Linked DNA regions of Tamandua tetradactyla. The protein of the gene in region 1 purifies or fractionates together with the protein of each later gene. This does not show direct contact. Links are inferred from orthologs where the notes say so. Each region holds a gene or a part of one and is shown in the gene's direction. Other genes may lie near its edges.

Region 1 (11,068 bases):
GCCTGCACTGAGACTGCCGTGGTTTTTATACCATGATTTTGATAATAGATTATCAAAATTTAGTAATATATTCCTACAGTTTTTTGCTCTTTAAGTTTTCTACTAATGGTGATTATACCTGAATCTCTGCTAGTGATCAGAAAACTAGTGCCCCTGGCAGGCAATGCCAACATAGAGCAAAAAGTCAGATAGACCTATTAAATGGGGAGAATTAAAGGAAGCATAATGAGCCTAATTTGGAGTGGCATATAATGGCATTTCTCCTTTTCTTCAGAGTATAGAGTCACAGAATATCATATCTGCTAGCATCTTTTCATCAACATTAATTTCCAGGACTTCATTTCATTGCAAAGGCTAAAAGAGATTAATGCATGAATTCAATAAATATTTATTAAGTATAACTAAGAACTTGGCACAAAGCCATTACCTTTAAGGAATTTATGGTTTGATGAGCAATTGGGATCCTAATTCTTTTTTTTTTTTTGAGCTCCTAACTCTCTACTATCCTACCAACTAATTCCTCCTGAAGATTTCCCCATCTCAGAAGATGGTAACTCCACCCCTCCAGTCACTGAGGCAGAAATCCATTGCTGAATTCTCCCTTTCTCACACATCCCAATCCAATCCTTTAGGAAGTCCTTTTGATTCGACTTTCAAAACATTCAGAATCAGAACACTTTTGTGGCTACCACACTCCTCCAAGCCAAATCAATTCCTGGATTATTTAAGGGTCTCCTAACAGTTCTTCCTACTTCTACCCTTTGGTCCCCCAGGCTGTTCTCATCTCCACAGCCAGAAGGATCCTGTTAAAATTAGAAGTCAGGATGGCTCCAGAATCCATTCAGTAGAAAAGGCACGGGGTTCATAATGGCCTATCCTAAGGCCCTACAACCTGCCCCCCATCCTGTCCCTTTATTGCTCTGACTTGTCTTTCTCTTGTTCAGTCAACTCTGATCACAACTCTAGCCTCCTTGGTGGTCCTTAACACTTAGAGGTGCACTGGTAAATGTTTAACTACCAACTCTCAGAAAAGATGGCTTGATTTTTAGCTAACTTCCATGGTGTAAATACTCCCACTATGGCTGATTTCAAGCTCCCCAAGGTGATGTCATGCATTGCAGAGTTGTGAAGAGACGTGCAGCAGCACACCATTATATGGTATTTCCATCAGGCAGATACAATAGACACAAATAACTCCAAGAAGATAGATAATAGTAAAATGCACTAATAATTAGATGAGTTTTTAATATTTATTATTTTGCTTTTAATGTAATTTATCTCACAGTAAGATCACATAATTTAATTTTTTAATGGCTGTGCTTAACAACCAATTTACAAAATTCCTGAAAACTTAACAATTGGCTCCACCATACCACTGTAAGTAACACACTAAATATGTTTCTGCCTCAGGGCCTTTGAACTTGTTTTTCCACCTGTCTTCTCCCAAATTATTGGTAAGGAATTCCTCCCTCTTTTCCTTCAGGTCTTTACTTGAATGCCACCTTCTAGGCAATACCTTCCCCAGCCACCCTAAAAGTGTAACCACCACCACCGCCACACATTGCATTTCCTACCTTGCTTTATTTTTCTTATTTTTAACCTTAGCACTTAACATCATATAACACATTATTTCTCTGACTTATTTATATTATTTAATTCGTGTGTCTTCCATCAGACTAGACACTCAATGAAAGCAAAAATTCCCACAAGATTTATTCTCCATTGAACCCTTAGCACTTTGAACACAGACTAGCAAAGAGTGGGCTTTCAATGTATTTGTCGAATGAATAGATTAGTGTTACGCCTTTTCATGTCTTTTATTTTATTTCATTCATTGTTTCTTATTGCCTAATACATAATGGACTGTTTTTGTGAGTGAAAGAGATGACATATCTTTCCAAACCACAGGCATCAACTGTACTTTCCCTGCTTTATTTTACTTCTTATATACGTAGACCTATAATCCCAGCTTATTATTATTTTTAGCTTGGAAATATTTCTTGAAAAGCAACTCTATAGCTTCCCCTGGCCTGTCTGAGAATGGTCCTAGATAAATGATACTTCATCTCTCTTTTCTCCATGATTAAGAGAATTTGTGACCTATTGATGAGCGAGGAGAACAGTACGAATTTCTCAGAACATCAAGCTATAACTCCTAGATTTAGCAGCCTTGCCAAACACTTTTTCACTATGTTCTCAGGAAGGCAGCAACTCATTTTCAGACAATTGCTGATTCTGCTCCTGATTGATTCGAAGTTCTTAGACACCATGTAGATAGTTCATTGAGGTCTTAGTGACACAGCCTTTCACTCCACCGACAAAATATTCATGATTTTCCATAAACATTCTCAACACTGTCAATAAGAATAGGGTTGCAACCTGAATTAAGACATCCCAGGTCAATTGTTTCTTGAAAAGGGTATCCCTTTCCTCCCTGCATCATACTTCAGCATCAGATACAATTCTATTGGTGACGAAGTTAAATCGGCAATGTTTTTGAAATCTAAGTATGTGATGCTGTATACAATTTTGTGAAGTATTTTTTAAAAGCAAATAAAAAAACTATCTCCTAATAAGATATTACAGAGAAGCATTTTGTCCAGTGCATCCCTTCAGATCATATGAAGTTAGACTCCTTGGAAGAAAAAGCCCAGTGAAATACAATTTGAGCTCAATACCCGAATATGTGATTAGTTAGACTCATGGTATTTTTAGTTCAAGTGCCTGCTTTTTATCTCTGGTTGGAAGAAATCTATGTTGGAAGGCCACTACTATATCCCTCAGAAAAAAGTGGTATTAATTTCCTCAAAAACAGTGAAAAGACCAATGCCATTATTAAAGTAATAGATTTATTGCTTATCTTTTCCTTATTTTTCTTACTACATTACATGTGCATTTAATATTATTATTTATATATTCCTTGAGGAATGCAGAGTCATTGATGTTGCTTTCACAGCCCAAAGGTCAAATGTATATGCAAAGATTGCCCATTTGAATCATCAGACTCTGTTTGTGACTATAAAGAACTTCCTTATAGATATGTATTATGATCTGATCATCTGTTTAGGAAACAGCAAATACCGATGGGTTTTATGTGAAATAAACAGGCACTGTTCACACATTTTGTTTGATATGTAAATTGATAACATCTTCCAATATTTATAACAATAACAAATATATGTACCTTCTGAAACAATAATTCCACTTTTAGGACTTTAACCTAGAACTATATTGACATTTGTGCACAAGGATAAATGTACCAAGATATTCGCTGCAGCATTATTTGTAAGAGAGAAAACCAGAAATAGCCTATAGGCCTCGGCGGAATGGTTGAATCAGTTACAGTACCAAGACAAGGTGGAAGACTATGAGGCTGTTAACAAGGATGAGGTGGATTTACACATTCTGGCTTGTTGAGTAAAAAGTAAGTCACTGAATATATGTAGTATGACATCATATATGTTGAACAAAACACAAAGCAAATATGTTTATAAATGCTTAGAAAATATCTCAAAGTATGCACGGTATTCTGTTAATGATTATCTCTGAGAGTCAGAAGGTTGGGGGAAGTATACGAAGGAGGACTTTAAATTTTTACTGTAGTTATGGACTTCTCTTTCTCTTATTTCTAACAATGTTATTGTTTTGTGAGACAATGTTGAGTAATAGAAAGACCAGAAATTTAGTTCTAATAGTGATCCAACCACTTTGGGGTGGTATATGTGTGTCGGAGTGGCAGGGGAGAGAGTATGTTAGAGAGAGACAGAGAAAGAGAAAAATCTACAAAATAATAACTCTCTCACAAAACTGCTGTGAGAATTCAGTGAAATACTGTACAAAAAGTCCTAACACCCTGCTAGATACCAGATACACATTCAATATGGTTTATATACATTTCCCTATCCATATCTCACTCTAAAGTTCAAAATCTGTTTGCTTCCAACAAATGAAAAAAGTACTAGACAATTAATACGTCAGACCTCGTGTTTCGATTTTGATTCTGAAAATATGATCAAACTCAATTATCTGCCCCACTCTCTTTTTTTCTTGTTTTTTTAACTCACTTTTAAGTTTTTAATTTATTATTAATTCAAAATATTTTATATGATGTTTTAGTTTGTTAAGCTGCTGGAATGCAATATACCAGAAATGGAATGACTTTTTAAAAAGGGAATTTAAAAAGTTACAGGTTTACAGTCTAAGTCCATGAAAATGCCCAAATTAAGGCACCAACAAGAAGTTATCTTCATTCACGAAAGGCTGATGCCAACCAGAACACTCCTGTTAGCTGAGAAGGCACATGGCTGGCATCTGCTGGTCCTTAGCACCTAGGATCCTTGCTTTCAGCCTGTTTGCTGTGATTTCCTCTTTAAGTGTTTATGGGCCATCACTTAGCTCCTAGAGAATATAACTCTGGGTTCTGGCTTGCTTAGCATCTCCTGGGAAGGTGCATGCAAGTCAGTCCTTTTTGTAGTTGTTAATTAGACAACAAATTTATTTTGAATGTACCATTTTCTGCCACAAACTCTTCAGCTAACCCCAGGCAAAAGATGAACCAAATATTTACATCTGATTCACTATGGTCAGACAGATATGACCTCTTGGGGTGTGATTTAAAGATAGGATGAAAAGGTTAAAGTTGGGGATAGTAAACAGAGACTATCTGAATTTTACAATCCACAAAGTGCTTTATGATTTACACTGTTCCCTTGCTAACATTATTTCATTTGATTCTCAACACTAATTCTGTGAGAGAGGCATGGAGAATGTCAGCCTCATTAAATGGGGAAGAAGGAAACTGAGGCCCAAAGAGGTGAAGTGACTTGCCCAAGGTCACATTCCAAGTAAAGCCAGGTCTTACTCCCAGCTGTTTTTATTCCTACTATGCTTCCAATCTCAAAAATCAGGACCTTGTGGCCTGGTTCTAGAGCTTAAAATGGTGGGAGGGTGAACATTTTTAAAACAGGACAGTCCCAGTTTTTCTGGTAATAGAACATAAGTATTCCAAATGATCAGTATATATCACATACATTATATCTTATACCATATATTACATATCCTCTGGATTAGATTTGTTACGATTTGATATGATTCCCTTAGACAATGAATAAACACTCTATGTCTGAAACTCATCCAATATCATTTTGGTAAATCTAAGTGTTGGGTTGTTTTTGGGGTTTTCTGTAGTGGAGGGGCAGGAGTCATTCTTAAGTGGTGCTATTAGCCATTGCTCATTGTTTGCATTTACTGAAGAAAACTCCGTTGGTTTAATAAACTATTTATCAACCTCTTGGTGGCAGAGCGGGCTCAGTGAAAGTTTTGGTGGGCTGTTCTCAAGCAAAGAACAATTAGCAAAGCTGATTTGGAGGGCACTTCAGGACAAACAAGAGGTAACCACGTGAAAGGCCACGAGCGTGTAATTTTCATAGAAAATACCATTTGATGATGATGAAGTTGTGAAGGGCATCTAAGCTGAAAAGAAAAACGGAGAGTGGGGGCAGATCAAGGACACCAGGTGGGAGGCAGTTGGTATGCAAGTTTAACAAGCAAAAATAAACGCTGTTAAACCAATTGCCGGGGTACAATTAGTTTTTAGAATGTACTTCTAACCAGGCAGGGTTGGTTGTTGAAGCAGCCAAATTCCAGCCTGAAGAGACATAGCGCTAACATTTAAAGAGACTCGTGCCCAAGAACTACTCGGGTATCTTTTTCAGGATAATGAGATTACCAAGCGCAGGGGGTACACGCCCCACCTTATCCAGACCTCTTTCACGGTTATTCTCACCCTCAACTCTCTGGCCCAAACCCACTCTTAAAGTGGGTTAAAGTGGTCCGGGGCCTACAATCGGCCTCCGATTTTTACAAAAAATTTTAACCTTTTTTTCCCACCCCTCCCGATTTAAAAAATAAATTTAAAAAAGGCGTGCCCTCCGTTTTGGGAGCGTAGCCCGCATGCGAGAGGCGGGTCAGATCCCCGCATGACCAGGCCCCCCGCAGGTTGGCGGGAGCCGGAGGGGGCGGGTCGGCGCAGGTCCGGGAGAAGTCAACCCAACGGAGCCGCGCGCCGCGAGGAGACTCGCGCAGCCACCAGCTCCCGAGCTGCGCCCCACCCTCTCCGTCACCAAACGCGCCCAGCCAATGAACGGGCCGGAAAGGCTGAGCCTGCGGGCAAAGAACTGGGAGGGGGAGCCGCGGGAGGGGGAAGGGAAGTTGGGGGGCGGGTTGCATTTGACTGACAGCTCTCTTGAACCAATCCTCCACGCGGCGTCGCTCTCTCCCTTCTCTGCTGGGCTCAGCTCTATGCCCCACCACCTCCTCCTCCACCCCCCCTTCTCTCTCGCTTTCGACCCGCCCCACTTCCCCTCCCCCACTCTGCGGGCAAATCGCTGCTGGAAAGAGGCGGGGGCCGAAGCGGCGGGCTCGTATGGAGCCTTGAGGTGGGACTGACGGGCGATCAGGCCAATGAGAGCTAGAATGATGGCGCGGCTGTGGCTGGAACCGACCAATAGGCGGGTGGGCTGGGGGCGGAGGCCCAGGTTCCAAACGCTCCGCGGCGCCATGGGCTGAAAACTCAACCGAGATGGAATCTCCCAGTCTGAACCGGTTTCAACCGGTTCCGAGTTTGAGGCACTAGGAGGAGGGGGAGAAGCGGCTGCAGCGGCCGCGGCAGGAGCAGCGGGAGCTACAGCATCAGCAAGAGCAACAGTAGCTACAGCCCCGGCGGCGGTGCCTGTTCCCGTCTTTGCTGCTGCAGTCCGTGCAACCACCCAGAGGGGGAGGGGGGAACCACCAGCCGCTGAGAAGCAGGAGAAGGGGGGAAAGTTTAGGCGAGCCTGGGTGGGGGGGCCCAGCGCCGGAGCCGCGTGAGAGAGGGAGCCGTATTTTGGTGGTGGGGGGAGTCGGACTGCAACTGGCAGCAGAGCGTCCCCCCGACCGTGTGGACTCTACACCCCCTACTCCTGCCGCTCCCGCTGCTGCCTGTGGCTGGAGGGTCCCCCTGGGGCTGAATCTTTGGGACTTGACCCCGTTCCCCTCCCCCTTCCCTCACTCCCCGGCCGGGCGGGAGCATTTGTTCCACAGATTAATCCCCTTTCTTTTTTGGGGGGGGGGGGCGGGTGTGTGTGTGTGTGTTGGGGGGAGGTGCCCCTGAAATAGTAAATATTGTTCAGCTTTTTTTTTTTTTTTTGCCATTTTCCTCTCCTTTTTAAAATTTTTCCTTTTTTAAGGTGGGAAAACTGAGAAACCCACCTTGATTTCCTCCCCTCTCCCCCTTCCCACCTTCCCTCGCCCTAATTCCCCGAGAAGGAAGGAAGAAGCAGTTGGTTCAATCTCTCGGTAAGTCGACTGTGTCTTCGGGGCCGAGGGGCGGGAGGCGGTGGCCCGGCGGGAGGAGGCCGGCGTGGGGCGGGCGGCGGCCGCGGGAGGCGAGCTTGGGAGGCGGCGGCGGCGGCGGCGGCGGGCCGGGGGCGCGCCGGGCCCAGAGAGGATCCTGCGATTGAATGGAGCCTCTTCTGCCGCTGGGGGATGCAGGCGGGGAGGCGGCCGCGGGAGGGGAGCGCCTGCTCGGTCACTCGCGTGTGCGGGTGGCCGTGGAAGAAGGCAAGGAGCGTGGTAGTGGAGCGAGGCCCTGCGCGGGAGTGGAAGAGAAGTTGGGGTGATTTCAGGAACATCTCTAAATTATCAGGAGTGGAAGTTTCCAGAAATATTTAGTGCAGCAGCATTGAAACGTCCGCCTGCATCACGTGGCCCGCTCCAGTGGAGAGCTTGGGATCTGGCGAGGGAGGGGCTGCCGAGTCCCTGTTCCTCCTGCAAGGAAACTCAAAAGCTTTCTGGCTTTTATCAGAGTGGGATGAGAAGTAGGAAAGATTAATTTTTTTCACGGCTCTGTGAGCGGGGTTCCGTGTTGTACTTTCTTGTTCCGACATGAGAGTGTAAAGAGATGGAATCGTTTACTGCTGGCATTGTAGAGTGTATGATGCCCTGATCCTCCTTCATCCCGATGTCTCCCAGTTTGGGGAGGTGGGAGGAAGTGGTGTGGTAGAGGAAGCATGAAATATTTGCCGAGCCGGGACCTCTGAACAGGCCGAGGCCATGCTGCATAGAGAACGGGGCGGTGAACTTAAGGCTGCTGGTCTAAAAGCCTCCTCCGAGTATGGGCGGGGTGAGTGCGTGCTCCAGTATGCTATAGTTAGAAGTGCTGCAAATCGGTTCGAGTGGGAAGCAAGGGAGGGCGGGCCTTAATGAGGTGTGTTTCTACTGAATGAAGCAGGCGATTGCCCATACACCTAAGTAGCAGTCTGTTGCCTTGTAGCGACTTGTTTTTTGACCTGGTGTGAAGTAATCATAATCATTAAGCAGTGGTTATGATTTTCTAATTTTTGGATGGTACCTGGCAGTGTGTACGCTGCCTGCCTAGTTAGTTTGAAGTGGCAGTGAACATGTTTTGGTAGTCACTTGTAGAGTCACAACTTTGCTGGATAATCCCTCAAATGTGCTATCCAGTGAGTGGATTTTAGGATTGAGGGCCCAAGGAGAAAAGAAAGCATTAGTGGTTTCTTCCCACCCACTATAGCTGTTTACTAACTGCTTGGTTGTATATCTTGAGCGGGACACTGCTGTTGTGGAAAGAATGTTTTGGAAGCTGTTTGATTTGGGGTACTAAATGTGCTTGGCGTTGACCACAAAGCCGCCATGTCTGTATTAGTACAGTTCAAGAATAGGTAGGTCATTTTGAACATAACCGCTAGTTCTAATAATGGCAAAACTATTGTATTTAAAGGCTCCTATTCCAAACGTGATTTTTCACATGACTGTAGCTAGGAGAATTCTGCAAGGACAATGTACTTGAAAGTGAAACTTTTCACGAGTTACTTGATTGATCCTTTTTCTATTTTAGCTTTTTAAAAACTGACAGCTAAATAGGGAGAAAGTTCTTTGCATTTTTAACCAAAATAATTGAAAACTTATTTTTGATAGGCTTTTCAGTCTCACGTTTTTAAGATTGTTCTGTGGCACTTGAAGGGAATTGCTCATTTATTTGTGGAATGTGTTTCTTTTTTTATATTAGCTATTTAGACCTAAAGCATTTATTATGGTGTATATAACAGACATGGTTTTTAAAACATGCTTGCTTAATACCTGCTATGAACAATTTTGAAATCTCGTAAGTTTTAGTTGCCACTAATGAACCATAAGACTTCAAAGGAATAAAAAATATCCTTGAATTATTACTTGATTTTTTTAACATTATATCTAATTTAAATAACTAATTTTTTAGATTTCTAGTTTGTTGTAATTAAAATTATCTTTAAAATTTTTTTTAGTTAAACTACTGTGAAATAGTCAAGAAATAACACATTTTTCATATCAAGCTAGTTTGTCCAAGGTGGACTCAAGCAGTCAAATCCTGGTAATGAAAAGTTTTCAAGAGGGGTAGAAGTAGAGATGACCATCTGACCTTGTTTCTCAATAACACTAAACCAGGGTTTCTAAACTTGAGGTTTCATGGGTGACTTTCAAGGTGTCCTAAATCCTTTGTAATTGTTCACGAAATTGTCAGTTTTTATTGGGTAAGAGCTATAGTGTTCTCTGATTCTAAGTCATCTTGACCCAAAAAAGGTTAAGGACTACTGCTTTAACTAGACAGACTTGAGTGGCATTAGCTTTAAAGAGAGAAATTGGAGAGACGATATTTTATAATGCCAGGCAGCAAAAATGTGGGTATGTGCCAGCATTGTAGAGTTGAATCCTCTTAAAAGGATAAAATTGCATATAAACCAGTAGATTTTAATCAGTATATTTATTTGAAGTTAAGTAGTTCTTGTTATGATAAAATTTGCTTTTGTTTGGAAAATAGTTGGCAAGTTTTTATGCTGCCGAAGAATACCTGTAAAATTTTTGAAATCTTGTTTGGCACATTGCCATAAGTTTTGTTCCTATATCATGTATAGAAAAAATTGCTAATCTTGTATGGTAATTTTGATCCCAGATTTCATTGAGGGTTGAAAGTAACAAGTATAGATGATTTTTATGGAGTGTAGAAGCGTAAGTTTTATAGAGGTGTTAAGTAAGGGAATTGGTACCAAAATTTGTTAGTCTTGTAGTTCCTGCTAATCATTGTTATGTACAATAGAAAGTCTTATATATCTGCATTTAATTTTTAATATCTCCTGCCCTTTAAGCATATCTTTAAAAATTAAGATAATGTGAAATGAGGGAAAATGAGCTTTTACTGAATTCTGTAGAAGGACCCTACTTTGGGAAGAACAAAAAACCATCTACTTGAACATCGTCTCTGTTTACAATTTGAGATCAAGATTTTGAACTTTATCCATTTATAGGGCCATAAAATTCTAAAAATGGATTTGATTTAAAAATAGGGTAACTGTTTACGTAAAATACTAGTAAAACAGTAAGTTTTTCTCTAGTTTAAAAATAGACACTTAAGAAGTTGGACGGACCCTAATAATTTCTGCAGTTATGGAGTAGCTAAGTAATTTCAGTTTTATTTGTTTTTACTATCTCAATTGTTTTATAATAATTAGATAAGTTCCTTAAAGTGGTTATTAAAATGTTGTAATAACACAATTGAAGTAAAATAACTTTTGAATAGAAATTTTTGGACTAATATCAAAACTTCATAGGCAGCTTCAATTTTCTTTTCTTTCTTTTCAGTAATCTATGCCAGCAATTATGACAATGTTAGCAGACCATGCAGCTCGCCAGCTGCTCGATTTCAGCCAAAAACTGGATATCAACCTTTTAGATAATGTGGTGAATTGCTTATACCATGGAGAAGGAGCCCAGGTAAAGTAGCTGACCGAAACTTTATAACATAATTCCAATGTTCAGAGTTGCTGGATTTAGAAATTTCTAATTATCACCTTTTACAACTTCATTCCATAATTTATATTAATTTTGGAATTGTGTATTCACTGTAATGATTGATTTGGAGAAATTGCAAATAGGCTTTGTCATGTTAAGAGTAGGATGTTTTTGGTATGTTGTTAACTAGTCCTTTTTTAAAAAAACTTTTTATTTTTAAATATCTTCAAACTTACAGACAGTT
Region 2 (11,134 bases), on another chromosome or scaffold:
CACTCTTAGTTTGTTTGCCAGGCTACTGTGACAAATACCACAAACCAGTTGGTTTAAACAACAGGAGTTTCTCAAGATTTTGGAGGGCAAGGTTCAAAATCAAGGCCTGGACAGGTCATGCTTTCCCCTGGAGTCTTGCATTCTGGTGATGGCTTGTACAGTCCTTTGGGTTCCTGGGCTTGCATCTCTGTCTGGGTTACATGCAATTTGTCTCCTTGTTTTCTTCCTGTGTATTTCTTTGACTGCATCTGAATTTCCTGTGCCTTATAAGGACTCTAGTCATATGGATTAAGGCTCATACTGATTGTTTGGTCTCATCTAAATAAGATCTTTGAAAATCCTATTCACAAATGAGTCCAAACCTTAATATCTTCAAAGGTCATCTTAACAAATGGATTTGCAGCCACAGGAATGCACATTTAAAACTTGAACATGTCTTTATGGGGGACATTATTCAATCCCCAACATCCTCCCTTTGGAGTATAACACTAGCTGAGAGAAAGGAGTGTGCTACTATAGCAGAAAGCTCCCTGTTTCCCAGAACTTCCCTAAATATTGGCCAGTGGCTGTTGTCTTTGTCCCAGTTGGTGTAACATGGCTGCATCTCCCTGAGAGCACCCACTTGGCTTAAACAAATGCAGATCACCTCCCAGTAGTTGTAGTGGAATAAATAAAAGGAAATGTTAGAAAATGCCCTACAAATCCAGTGCATGCAAAAATCCTACCCTAATTCCCCCAGAGACCAAGTTTAGCTCTAGGAATTGTTTTGGTGGAAGCACTACAGGAGTCAGCCCCTCAATCCCAGAGCAGTCATGCTTCATAAGGAAGTAGCAATCAAAAGAGAGCTACGGGCATGCACACTTCAAGTTCTGCTCTTAACAGGGACTCCTGCCCCATAGGATTCACAGTTGTGAGAGATTCTGGTGTTGCTGCTTTTGCTTTTGATGAGAAGCTTTGGGATGTAGGTGTTTGAGACAAGAAAAGGTGAGAGGTGCCTCAGAAATTTAGTTTTTTTTGAAAAGGGATGATTAGGCTGATGTCATGGTTAGGGACAGGTGTCAACTTGGCCAAGTTGTGGTACCTGTTCATCTGATTGGGCAAGCGCTGGCCTGTCTGTTGCAATGAGGACATTTCATAGGATTAGGTCATGATCACGTCAGCTACATCCACAGCTGATTCCATTTGTAATCAGCCAAAGGGAAGTGTCTTCTGCAATTAGTGATGCTAAATCCAATCATGGGAAGCCTTTTAAGGAGGACTCAGAGGAGACAGGTTGCATTCCTGCTTTGGCTGGTGAGCCTCTCCTGTGGAGTTCATCCAGGCCATCCATTGGAGTCATCGGCTTTGCAGCCTGCCCTGTGGATTTTGGACTCTGCATTCCTACGGTCACGTGGACTCTGCATTCCTACGGTCATGTGAGACACTTTCATAAATTTTATATTTGCAAGTGTTCCCTGTTGATTCTGTTTCTCTAGAGAACCCTAACTAATACAGCTAATAAGGACCAGAGGACCATCATTCTACCCAGGAAGCCAATTAGCCATCTCCACAGGATTGTTGTCTGATGTAGAGTGAGAACATGGCACTGTGTCCTGATAAGTATGTAATCTTAAGGCAGTAGCATATTGGTGGTGAGGATGCTAGGAATTAGACTTGTCATATGCAAAGACAAGATATCATTTGATATCCTTCAGCAGCTGTGCGTGTGTGTCTATATATGCAGGTCCTCTGTTTTGATGAGTTGTTAGGAGCTGAGAAAACGTTCTTACCCCCTCCCCTCTTTTTTTTTCACAGTACAAATGAATTTATTACCACCTGTACTTTTTTTAAGCTTTGGTTTTGTTTTTCATTACATTGTTGTTGGGGATTAAATCATGTCCACCACAAAAGGTCAGTCAGATCCCAACCTTGGGCCTAGAATGTGAAGCCATTGTAGATTGGACCTTTGAAGATGTTATTGGTTAAGGTATGCCCAAACTGAATGAAGGTGGGCCTTGATCCAATATGGCTGAAATCACTATAAACAAATGAAATTGGACGTAAAAAGAGAAGCCACAGCATTCCAGGCAGCAGTAAGAAGAGGACTTATTTCCATACTTGGGGCCTCCATTCTTACCTGAATCCCCACAGCACAGGAATAAGGGCCTGCTCTGCACACCCTGGATTAGACCCTATGGCTGAAGAGAAAAACGTCTCCAGAGGAAACACAGAGGTCAAAATGGAGGAACCAAACCTTCAACCTGAAACAACTAGAAACTCCCAGGAAGTAAAGAAGGAAGACACTCAGAAACCAAAGAAGCCCACAGGTGGTCCCCATGAGAACATGGCCAGTGTTCCACCTTCCGTGTTCAAACTCCAAACCTGCACAATCCTCAGGCCCCAAGAAGAACCAGAAGATGCCAGGTTGGGCACACTGGACCCCGAACCCACCATGGTTCCCTCCATGCCCATATCCTGCCATTGTCCTGGAGGATAGCATCCCCCAGCAGCAGTGGTTGGCTTCCTCTGAATCAGATACAGATCCTGGATGGAATAACAATGTGAACCTTTTTCCCAATTTTGTTTGAGAGATGAACAAAATATCATAGATCCATTCATTCATTCAGGATCCCTTCCCTTCAACAAATACAATCTAGTGACAATAAAATTTGAAGGTCAACGAGAAAAAAAAAAAAAAAAGAGAAGCCACAGGGAGCAGCCGGAAGCTGGAAGTTAACAGAACCCTGAAGAGAAAGAATACACTGCCACATGTGTGTCTATGTGACAGTATAGCCAACAACTCCAGCGATTGTCGGCCAGCCAGAAGATATCGAACCCGAGAGGAAACAAGCCTTCTAGCTTCTGACATCATGAGTCAGATTTCTGATTTTGAGCCAACTGATTGTATGGTATTTCTTTTAGCAGCCAGGAAACTAAAGCAATTGTCTTATTTTTAATTGACATATACATTATATTAAGCACAATACACAGATATTAGGTGTACAATTCCATGAGTTTTGATCATTGCATCACCTGAGTAACAACCACCCCAATCAAGGTTTGAACATTTTCGTCACTCCAGAAAGTTCACTTGTGCTCCTTTTCAAAATCAATCCTACCCACTTCAGCCCATGCCCTGGCAACCATCGTTCTGATTTCTGTTGCTATAGATTAGAAATACCTATTTTGAACTTTTACAAATGGAGTCATGCACTGTGTACTCTTTTTGTGTCTGTATTCTTTCACTCAAACCTAATGTCTTTGAGATTGCGAATCACTCATCCATGTTGTTGAGTGTAGCAGTAGTTCATTCCTCTTTTGCTTTTTAATCAACTTCATTGAGAGGTATAATTTACATACTATAAAGCGACATGTTAAAGATACAGTTAATACTGTTAAAACCGATAACGTATTTTGACAAATGTTATATGAAACCAGGACCCCAATTCAAGATATAAAACATTTCCATCTTCCCAGGAAGTTCCCTTATGTCCTATCCACCTGTGCTGGTTTGAAACTGTTATGTACCCCAGAAAAGTCATGTTTGAATCCTGATCCAATCTTGTGGAGCCAGACCTATTGCTTAGGGTGGGAAACTCTGAATTGTTTCCATGGAGATGTGACACATGTAGTTGTGGGTGTGGCCTTTTGATGAGATGGATATGTGACTCCACCCATTCAAGGTGGGTTTTGATTAATTTACTAGAATCCTTTAAAAGGGGAAACATTTTGAAGAAACCTCAGTTGCAGATGCTTGGAGAACACTTGATTCAGAACTGACAGTAACACAGATGTTTGGAGATGCTTGGAGCACCAATAGAGAGAGCAGACACCTAGACATGGGCAGAGCCCAGCAGACATCGCCATGTACCTTCTCATGAGTTGCTAAGCAAGCCAGAACACAGAGTTATGTCCCAGAGGAGCTACTTGAAGGCCCATAAACACTTAGAGAGGAGACCTCTGGGATCAGAAGCTGGAAGCAACAGAGCAGAAACAAGAAATCAGCAGATGCCAGCCATGTGCTTTCCTGTGTGACAGACATCGACCTAGCTTGAGTCAAGGTGTCTTTTCCGGGATGCCTTAGTTTGGACATTTTTATGGCCTTAGCACTATAAACTCATAATGTAATAAATTTCCTTTATAAAAGCCATTCCATTTCTGGTGTATTGCAGTCCACCAGCTTTAGCAACCCAAAACACAACCTTAACCCCATCCAGAGGCAACCAGTGTTCTGAAATTACTATAGATTTTGTTTTACTCATTCTTGAACCTCATATAAATAAAATTAGACAGAATTTATCTCATGTCTGTTATCTGTAGCATAATGTCTGTAAAATTCATCTGTTTCATCATGTGTTATCAGTAGTTCTTTTTTATTGCTGAGTAGTATTCCATCGGACAAATATACTTCAATTTGTTTATCCATTCTCCTGTTGATGGACATTTTGGGTTGTTTTCAGTTTTGGGTTATTATGACTAAAGTTGTTACAAACATTTGTGTACAGGTCTCTTTGTGGACATATCTTTTCATTTCTCTTGGAATAAAATTGATGGGTCATACAGTAGGTACATGTTTAACATCTTGAGAAATTGCCACACAGTTCTACAAAACTTGTGCTATTTTACACTCCCTCTAGAAGTTTATGAGAGTTCCAGTTGCTCCACCTGCTTCTCAACACCTGGCATGTAAATATTTAATTTTAGCTATTCTAGTGGTGTGTAGTGGTATCTCACTGCGACTTTGGTTTACTTTTCCCCAATAACTAATGGTTTTAACACCTTTTCATGTACTTATTGACATATTCTCATTTTTGAAGTGTGTTCAAGTTATGCATTTATTTTGACACATTCTTCCACTGTATAGAAACTTATTCTGGAGTAATACATCTTAAATAAAAAGCTATTTATTGCTATATAAAAAGCTAATATAATAATAAATTAATATTTATTGACTCAAAAGGATAAATATTGTATGTGCCAGGCACTTTCCCGGGTTTACTAATTAGCAGTGACCAAGACAGATGAGATCTTTGCTCTTTTTGAAGACTTCATATGCTTTCAAGGAGAGACAAAAATATTTATCAGAAGCAACTAAATGGTTAATAATGACATGAGAAACCACGTAGTCTTATAATGTTAAATTTAAAATTGTATGTATACTTTTTGGGGGACTGTGTAAAATACCCCTGCTATGTTGCATATGGACAAAAACTGGAAGAACCCAGAAGGAAAAAAATGCTGTTCGTGTGTTTATAGAAATGATGGGATTGTGGGGATGAAGTGGTGTGTGTGTGTTTTCCATTTTTTCTTATGTGTTATCACTTCTAAGAGTAGAAACTAGCATCATATGGTATTCTGTTTCATGTAGCTTTCCTTTGTATAAAGCTTTACAGTTGTCAAAACACAAATCAGAATTGAGCGTGCAGATTATAGCATTTTATTTTAGACATCCAAAGTTTTACAGCAACAAGTCAGTCAGTTCACCTGCAAAAGTGAAAACAGCTGGGAGCTTCTTGGCCTTTTTATAGATACAAAACGGAAGTTAGCTTGACTCTTATTGATTGGACAGGGGCTTTTCAAGTATATATGGACCAGTTTGGGGCAGGTGGACATTATTTTGTATTGGGTAAAATATAAAGACTAGATGCTTGAATCGCTATCTGGGTCCCCTTAGTGGGGATTCAAGTTTCAAAAGATATCAAAAGGAAACTGAAGAAGGAGGTCAAAGAGTAAGTAGGGCATGGTTTTGGGTTTTTGTTTTGTTTTATTCTTTTGTAGGGCATGGTTTTTATGGTTTGGTTTTTTTTTTATTTTTTAGCTCTGAAGTGGTCCCAGGGCTTCCTCTAGATAATTTCATCACAGTTCAGAGACTCTACATTTACTATGAAACGTGGTAGTTTTACAACTAAAACTTCAGAGAGAAGTGAGAGAAGAGTTTTACTCAGCAGAGATATAGGACTTCAAGGTACAACGAGGAAGCGCCTCGCTAAATCCGGCGGAAATGACGAGTTTCTCAAGCGAGGAGGGAGGGCGGAGATTAGCCGCGGGCGGGGAATGGCGGCTTCTCGGGCCTGACGTCACTTTATCGCGCTGCTGCTTCCGGTCCGCGTGAGAGACGTTTTCTGGCCCGCGGATGGTTTAGGGCTGGTGCTGACGTGTGGTCCTTGTGTATTCCCTCGTGTTTGCCTTCCGCCCTTAGGACCATGGCCACCGACTCGTGGGCCCTAGCTGTGGACGAACAGGAAGCGGCAGTCAAGTCGGTTAGTTGCTTTAACTCAAAAGGGTGGTGAGAATATAGTAGCGGCTTAGGCGGACCCAGGTTCGAGCCCAGGGGGAAAGTGCTCCCGGGGCGAGTAGGCCTGTGGACATGCGCCCTGAGATTAAATCTTATTTGCGTCTAAAACTAAAGAGGCCAGTATCCCATTTTTTATTTTCATTTGGGCCAATTATAATTTTATCTTGTGGCAGATCTCTCCCTGCCACGTATCCTGTCTTTCCTGTATTGCACCTGTATTTTCAGGGTCGGTTTTAAGCAAAGGCAAATATAACGCGGATTCTCTTTATCTATTAAGCAACTGTTTTCAGTGTCCTAGGTAATTCATATTTTAGCATGTCTTGGATCCATGACTGGGTCTAATATGATTGGCAGCTTGTAGCTCTTCGCAGAAGAAATATGTTTCAACCTACTGTAGATGTTGGTGGGGTTGGGAGGCACTTCAATTTTTTTCATTGATGTTGTTTATAGTAACATTTATTTCCATGTACTGTTTACTCTTTGAAAGTTTCCAAGCTTATGTGGTCAAAGTTGTACTTTCAGAGTCTTTTCTGGCATATAAAAATAGATCTGGAGGGAAGAAAGAGAGAGAGAATAATGTATCTGGGAATCTGGGTTGGATGCAATTTGGGGAGTCCCAATGAAAGATAATAAAAATATGAATTGAAGTAGTAAAAATAGAAAGGACCTGATTGATGCCAGTTCATTTGTCCCTGACATATTTTCAGACACAATGTTTCCTTTACTTCCTCTGGCTATGTCACCAATTAAGTTTCTTTTCTTTCCAAGACTAGCAAATTAAAAAAAAAAAAAGAAACCCTAAGAATCTTTAGAGATATAACCTGTGACCTTTTTGAAATTAGAGCTGTCATAGAGATCCTGAGGTCCTCCATGAAGTCCCTTTTAGTGTCTGCAAGGTCACCTTTCAGTGAATCAGGGCCTTGGGAACTCGCATAATGCTAGCCACCCAGGCAGGAGTTATTTTATTACTTATGTTGGGGGAAAATACCTTTATCATGACTGAAAACCTGTGTCTAGTGTCAGAGACACTGCCTTTTGTGAAAGACTAGATTAATGATGAGAAGGTTGCTGCAAAGGGTGAATCCAGAGTGTAGAAAAATAGGGTGCTGATTGGCCTGCCTCTTCCCCATGCTGAAGTTACCTCTCTCAAAACAGGAGGACTTGACTGCCAGCACATTCCTCCTTGAATATGGCTGAGTAAATGCTGACAAGTTGTTGCCCTTAGGATCTCTTTCTCCAGCTGTTGAGCATGTTGCCTTTTGTTAACACATTATACAGATTGCGATATGTTAGATTCGGTTACAGTGTTCTTTTTCATCAGTCAGACTTCTCAAAGACTAATCAGCTTGTTTGGAATGGGGCTTCAGACTGTCTTAATCACATTTTCAGACGTTGCAAGAGTAATATGCTTCTATTGATCCCTATAGATCAATATATAGATATAATACAGATAGCCGCAGTATGAGGATTAGCTGATGGGTAAGTTCTTTTAAAAGATGCCTTGTCTTGTGTGTGCCAACTTTCCCATTGGCTTGAGAGAAAAGGCATCTGTCCCCAAGGAGGTATGTTAATCTGATTTTGATCTTTAAAAACTGGTTTCTTAAGAGATCAGATCAGTACTCTGCTGTATGAGGGTGGACCTCCTTTTCCTAAAGGCCAAGAGCAAGCTCAGGTTGCAGGGAGGGGGATTGGAGGAGGCAACATATTTAACAAAGTACAGTAAGCCCTCAGTGAACATTAGTGATGCTCTTAAGGATAATGAATTATGTCAACTAGGCTCTTGTGGGGAGCAGAGCTTGGGGCCTAGGGCTTCATTTGGGTATTCCGCACAACCTTTATAATATCACGAATTATTATTGCTATTATTTTTTATTAACATAGCAACATACAAACACAAACATTCTTACCATATGATCATTCCATTCTACATATATAATCAGTAACTCACAATATCATCACATAGTTGTGTATTCATCATCATGATCATTTCTTAGAACATTTGCATCAATTCAGAAAAATAAAAAGAAAACAGAAAAAAATTCATATACAGCATACACCTTTCCCCTCCCTTTCATTGATCACTAGCATTTCATTCTGCTAAATTTGTTTTAACATTTGTTCCCCCTGTTGTTTATTTATTTTTAATCCATATGTTTTACTTGTTTGTTGATAAGGTAGATAAAAGGAGCATCAGACACACAATTTTTACGATCACAGTCACATTGCAAAAGCTATATCATTGTACGATCATCTTTAAGAAACATGGCTGCTGGAACACAGCTCTACATTTTCAAGCAGTTCCCTCCAGCCTCTCCATTACACCTTAACAAAAAGGTGATATTTATATAATGCATAATAATAATAATCTCCAGGATAACTTCTCGAATCTGTTTGGAATCTCTCAGCCATTGACACTTTATTTTGTCTCATTTCACTCTTCCCCCTTTCAGTTGAGAAAGTTTTCTCAATTCCTAGATGCTGAGTCCCAGCTCATTCTAGGATTTCTGTCTCACATTGCCAGGAAGGTCCACACCTCTGGGAGTCATGTCCCACGAAGACAGTGAGTTTGTTTGTTCACACAATTATTCTTACCAACACTTTCAGTATAGGAAAATAATTCTCATGACATTGGAGGCTTGTTTGCAGACATATGAATTATTATTCTGTTTAAGTGTTCTGCTTAGTTTGTATTGACGAAGTGGCCAAGAGTAGATGAAAAACCATTTTGTTTACATTTTTGGAAGATTCTCAAATCAGGAACTTAGTTTATCAATACTTTCAGGGTAACAAGCTTTTGACTAATTTATATGTAGGTGGTTGATAAGAAAGAAAACTAATTTATTTAAGTGTTGCTTTTAATTAAGGGTGTGGGTTTCAGGGCTAAAAAGATAAAAGCTTGTTTGAGATATTTAGGTGGTATCATTCTTCACTGTATGTAGGAAGACTGAGTGTTTGTGGCATTGAAAGGATATAATAGATACTTATTTAATGAAGGCTAGATGTTGTAGAAAGAGCATTAATAGGGAGAGAAGCAGAGGTTTGAGACTATAGTCATACTTTTTCTCCCTATCATTACATTTAACCCACCCTCTCTTTTTATTTAGGCTGTTGGAGATATTTTAAGTGATGTTTTTATCCAGGCTTTTAGTAATTTACTAAACTGAGCAGACAAACAAAGCCCTCAAATACGGATGTTGAAATAGTTTCTGCTAGACTTTCACTGGGGAAAGGCCTTCTTTTGAGTGTGTAATTTGCTTAACTCTGTTTCCTTTTATTCCCAATCAGATGAACAGCTTGCAGATCAAGGAAGAGAAGATCAAATCAGATACCAATGGTGAGTGACTACAAGCTAGCTACAAGCTTCACATGCTGTTCTGTTTAGCACTCAGAACTGCAGTGTGCTGAGGAGCTTTCATTTATTATACACTTGGCATGTGACAGCACTAGATTTGAGAACCAGTATATTAAGTTTCATAACTGAAGGTGATATATATTATGCTCCCACATTTCCTGTAACCTCTGATTCTTTAAATCCTGTAATCACTACTGGAGTGTACTACCAGTGTTCACTTGATAATGTTTCTTTAATGTTTTTTAATTTAATTTTTTGAAAAAATTCTAAACTAACATCTGAAAAATTCTAATTTCTGGGTTCTAAACTCAGAAAGTAGAAAAAAGTGAAAGGCCTCCTTCCCATCTTGGTCCTCATTTGTCCTGTCCCCTGTATACACATACACTCCCATAAATAGCCGCTGTTCTTGGGTATTTCATGTATTTTCAAAGCTTCTTTATGCAAAGCAAATACCAATATAGATTCCCTCTTTTTTTAACCAAAAAGTGGCATAATATTCCTTTCTTTACTCAGTAATATACCTCAGCACGCTTTCCCAATCAGTGCATGGAATTTCCTTACTCCTTTTTATAACTGCATAATATTGCATTATGTGTGTATACCACAATTTATTTAGCCAGTCATTTATTGATAGATATTTGGGTTGTTCCCAATGTTATACCATTATAAACAGCACTTAATGGAATAGCCATGAACTTAAATCTTTCTTCATGTATATAAGTACGTTTATAGGACAAATTCTAAAAAATACCTTCAGTATTTTCAAAGTACCATCCATAGATATTATACCAATTCATATTTCTATCACAAAGCATGAGAATGTACATTTCCCTACAGCCTCACCACAGAGTTTATACTCAAGCTTTTGGGTAGGTTTGATATTTGCCTTTCTAGTGACAATAACTATTCTTTTGTAGGTATTGTCAAAACCAATGCCACTGCAGAGAAAGCAGATGAAGAAGAGAAAGGTAATGCCTATTTGAAGCCCTATGGCAAGAGGTGAAGTATGACATAGGACTTGCCTTCCTGGATCCCAGAAACACTCTGAGATAAATGTAAGATCAGGGAGATGAGGAGGAATAAGGAAAGGAGATTCTCACTGTGAGATAAGAGGAGAACCAGAAGTGTGTGGTGTCCCACAAGCCAGAAGAAGAAAGTGTTTCAAAATATTAGGTAATAAGTAGAATAAAAGAAAAACTTAAAATTGACCTTTAGATTGATTTGCTAAGGTGGAAATCATCAGTGTGCCTGATAAGAGCTGTTGAGGTAGAGTAGGAAGGTTAAAAAGTACTACTCAGTATGTGTTCAAGGGAAAAGGGGAGGAGAGGCAGTGGGAATAGGTACAGATAACCTTACGGGGACTGCTGCATAAGAGGGAAAAGAGAAACAGGGCAGTGACTGGATGGGGATGTGGGGTAAGGGACGAAGCAGAGGTAATGTGAGTGAGGTTAAAGTATATTCACATGCTCATGGAAAGGAGAAACTGACAATGCCTGAGAGGGCCAGTG

What was found.
Region 2: the proteins of XPO1 (region 1) and ATP-dependent RNA helicase DDX19A fractionate together in Homo sapiens (co-fractionation; 3 studies listed by BioGRID, with this or other methods). This does not show direct contact. The link is inferred for Tamandua tetradactyla from reciprocal best matches to the Homo sapiens genes XPO1 and DDX19A.

Annotation. Positions count from the first base shown.
Region 1 is NC_135343.1:34,216,247-34,227,314, reverse strand, and holds the start of XPO1 (exportin-1), read left to right. Parts: upstream 1-6,513; 5' UTR 6,514-7,335; intron 7,336-10,674; 5' UTR 10,675-10,680; coding exon 10,681-10,806; intron 10,807-11,068. UniProt on the Homo sapiens protein: Mediates the nuclear export of cellular proteins (cargos) bearing a leucine-rich nuclear export signal (NES) and of RNAs.
Region 2 is NC_135342.1:68,588,831-68,599,964, reverse strand, and holds the start of ATP-dependent RNA helicase DDX19A, read left to right. Parts: upstream 1-6,063; 5' UTR 6,064-6,182; coding exon 6,183-6,239; intron 6,240-9,559; coding exon 9,560-9,608; intron 9,609-10,543; coding exon 10,544-10,594; intron 10,595-11,134. UniProt on the Homo sapiens protein: ATP-dependent RNA helicase involved in mRNA export from the nucleus.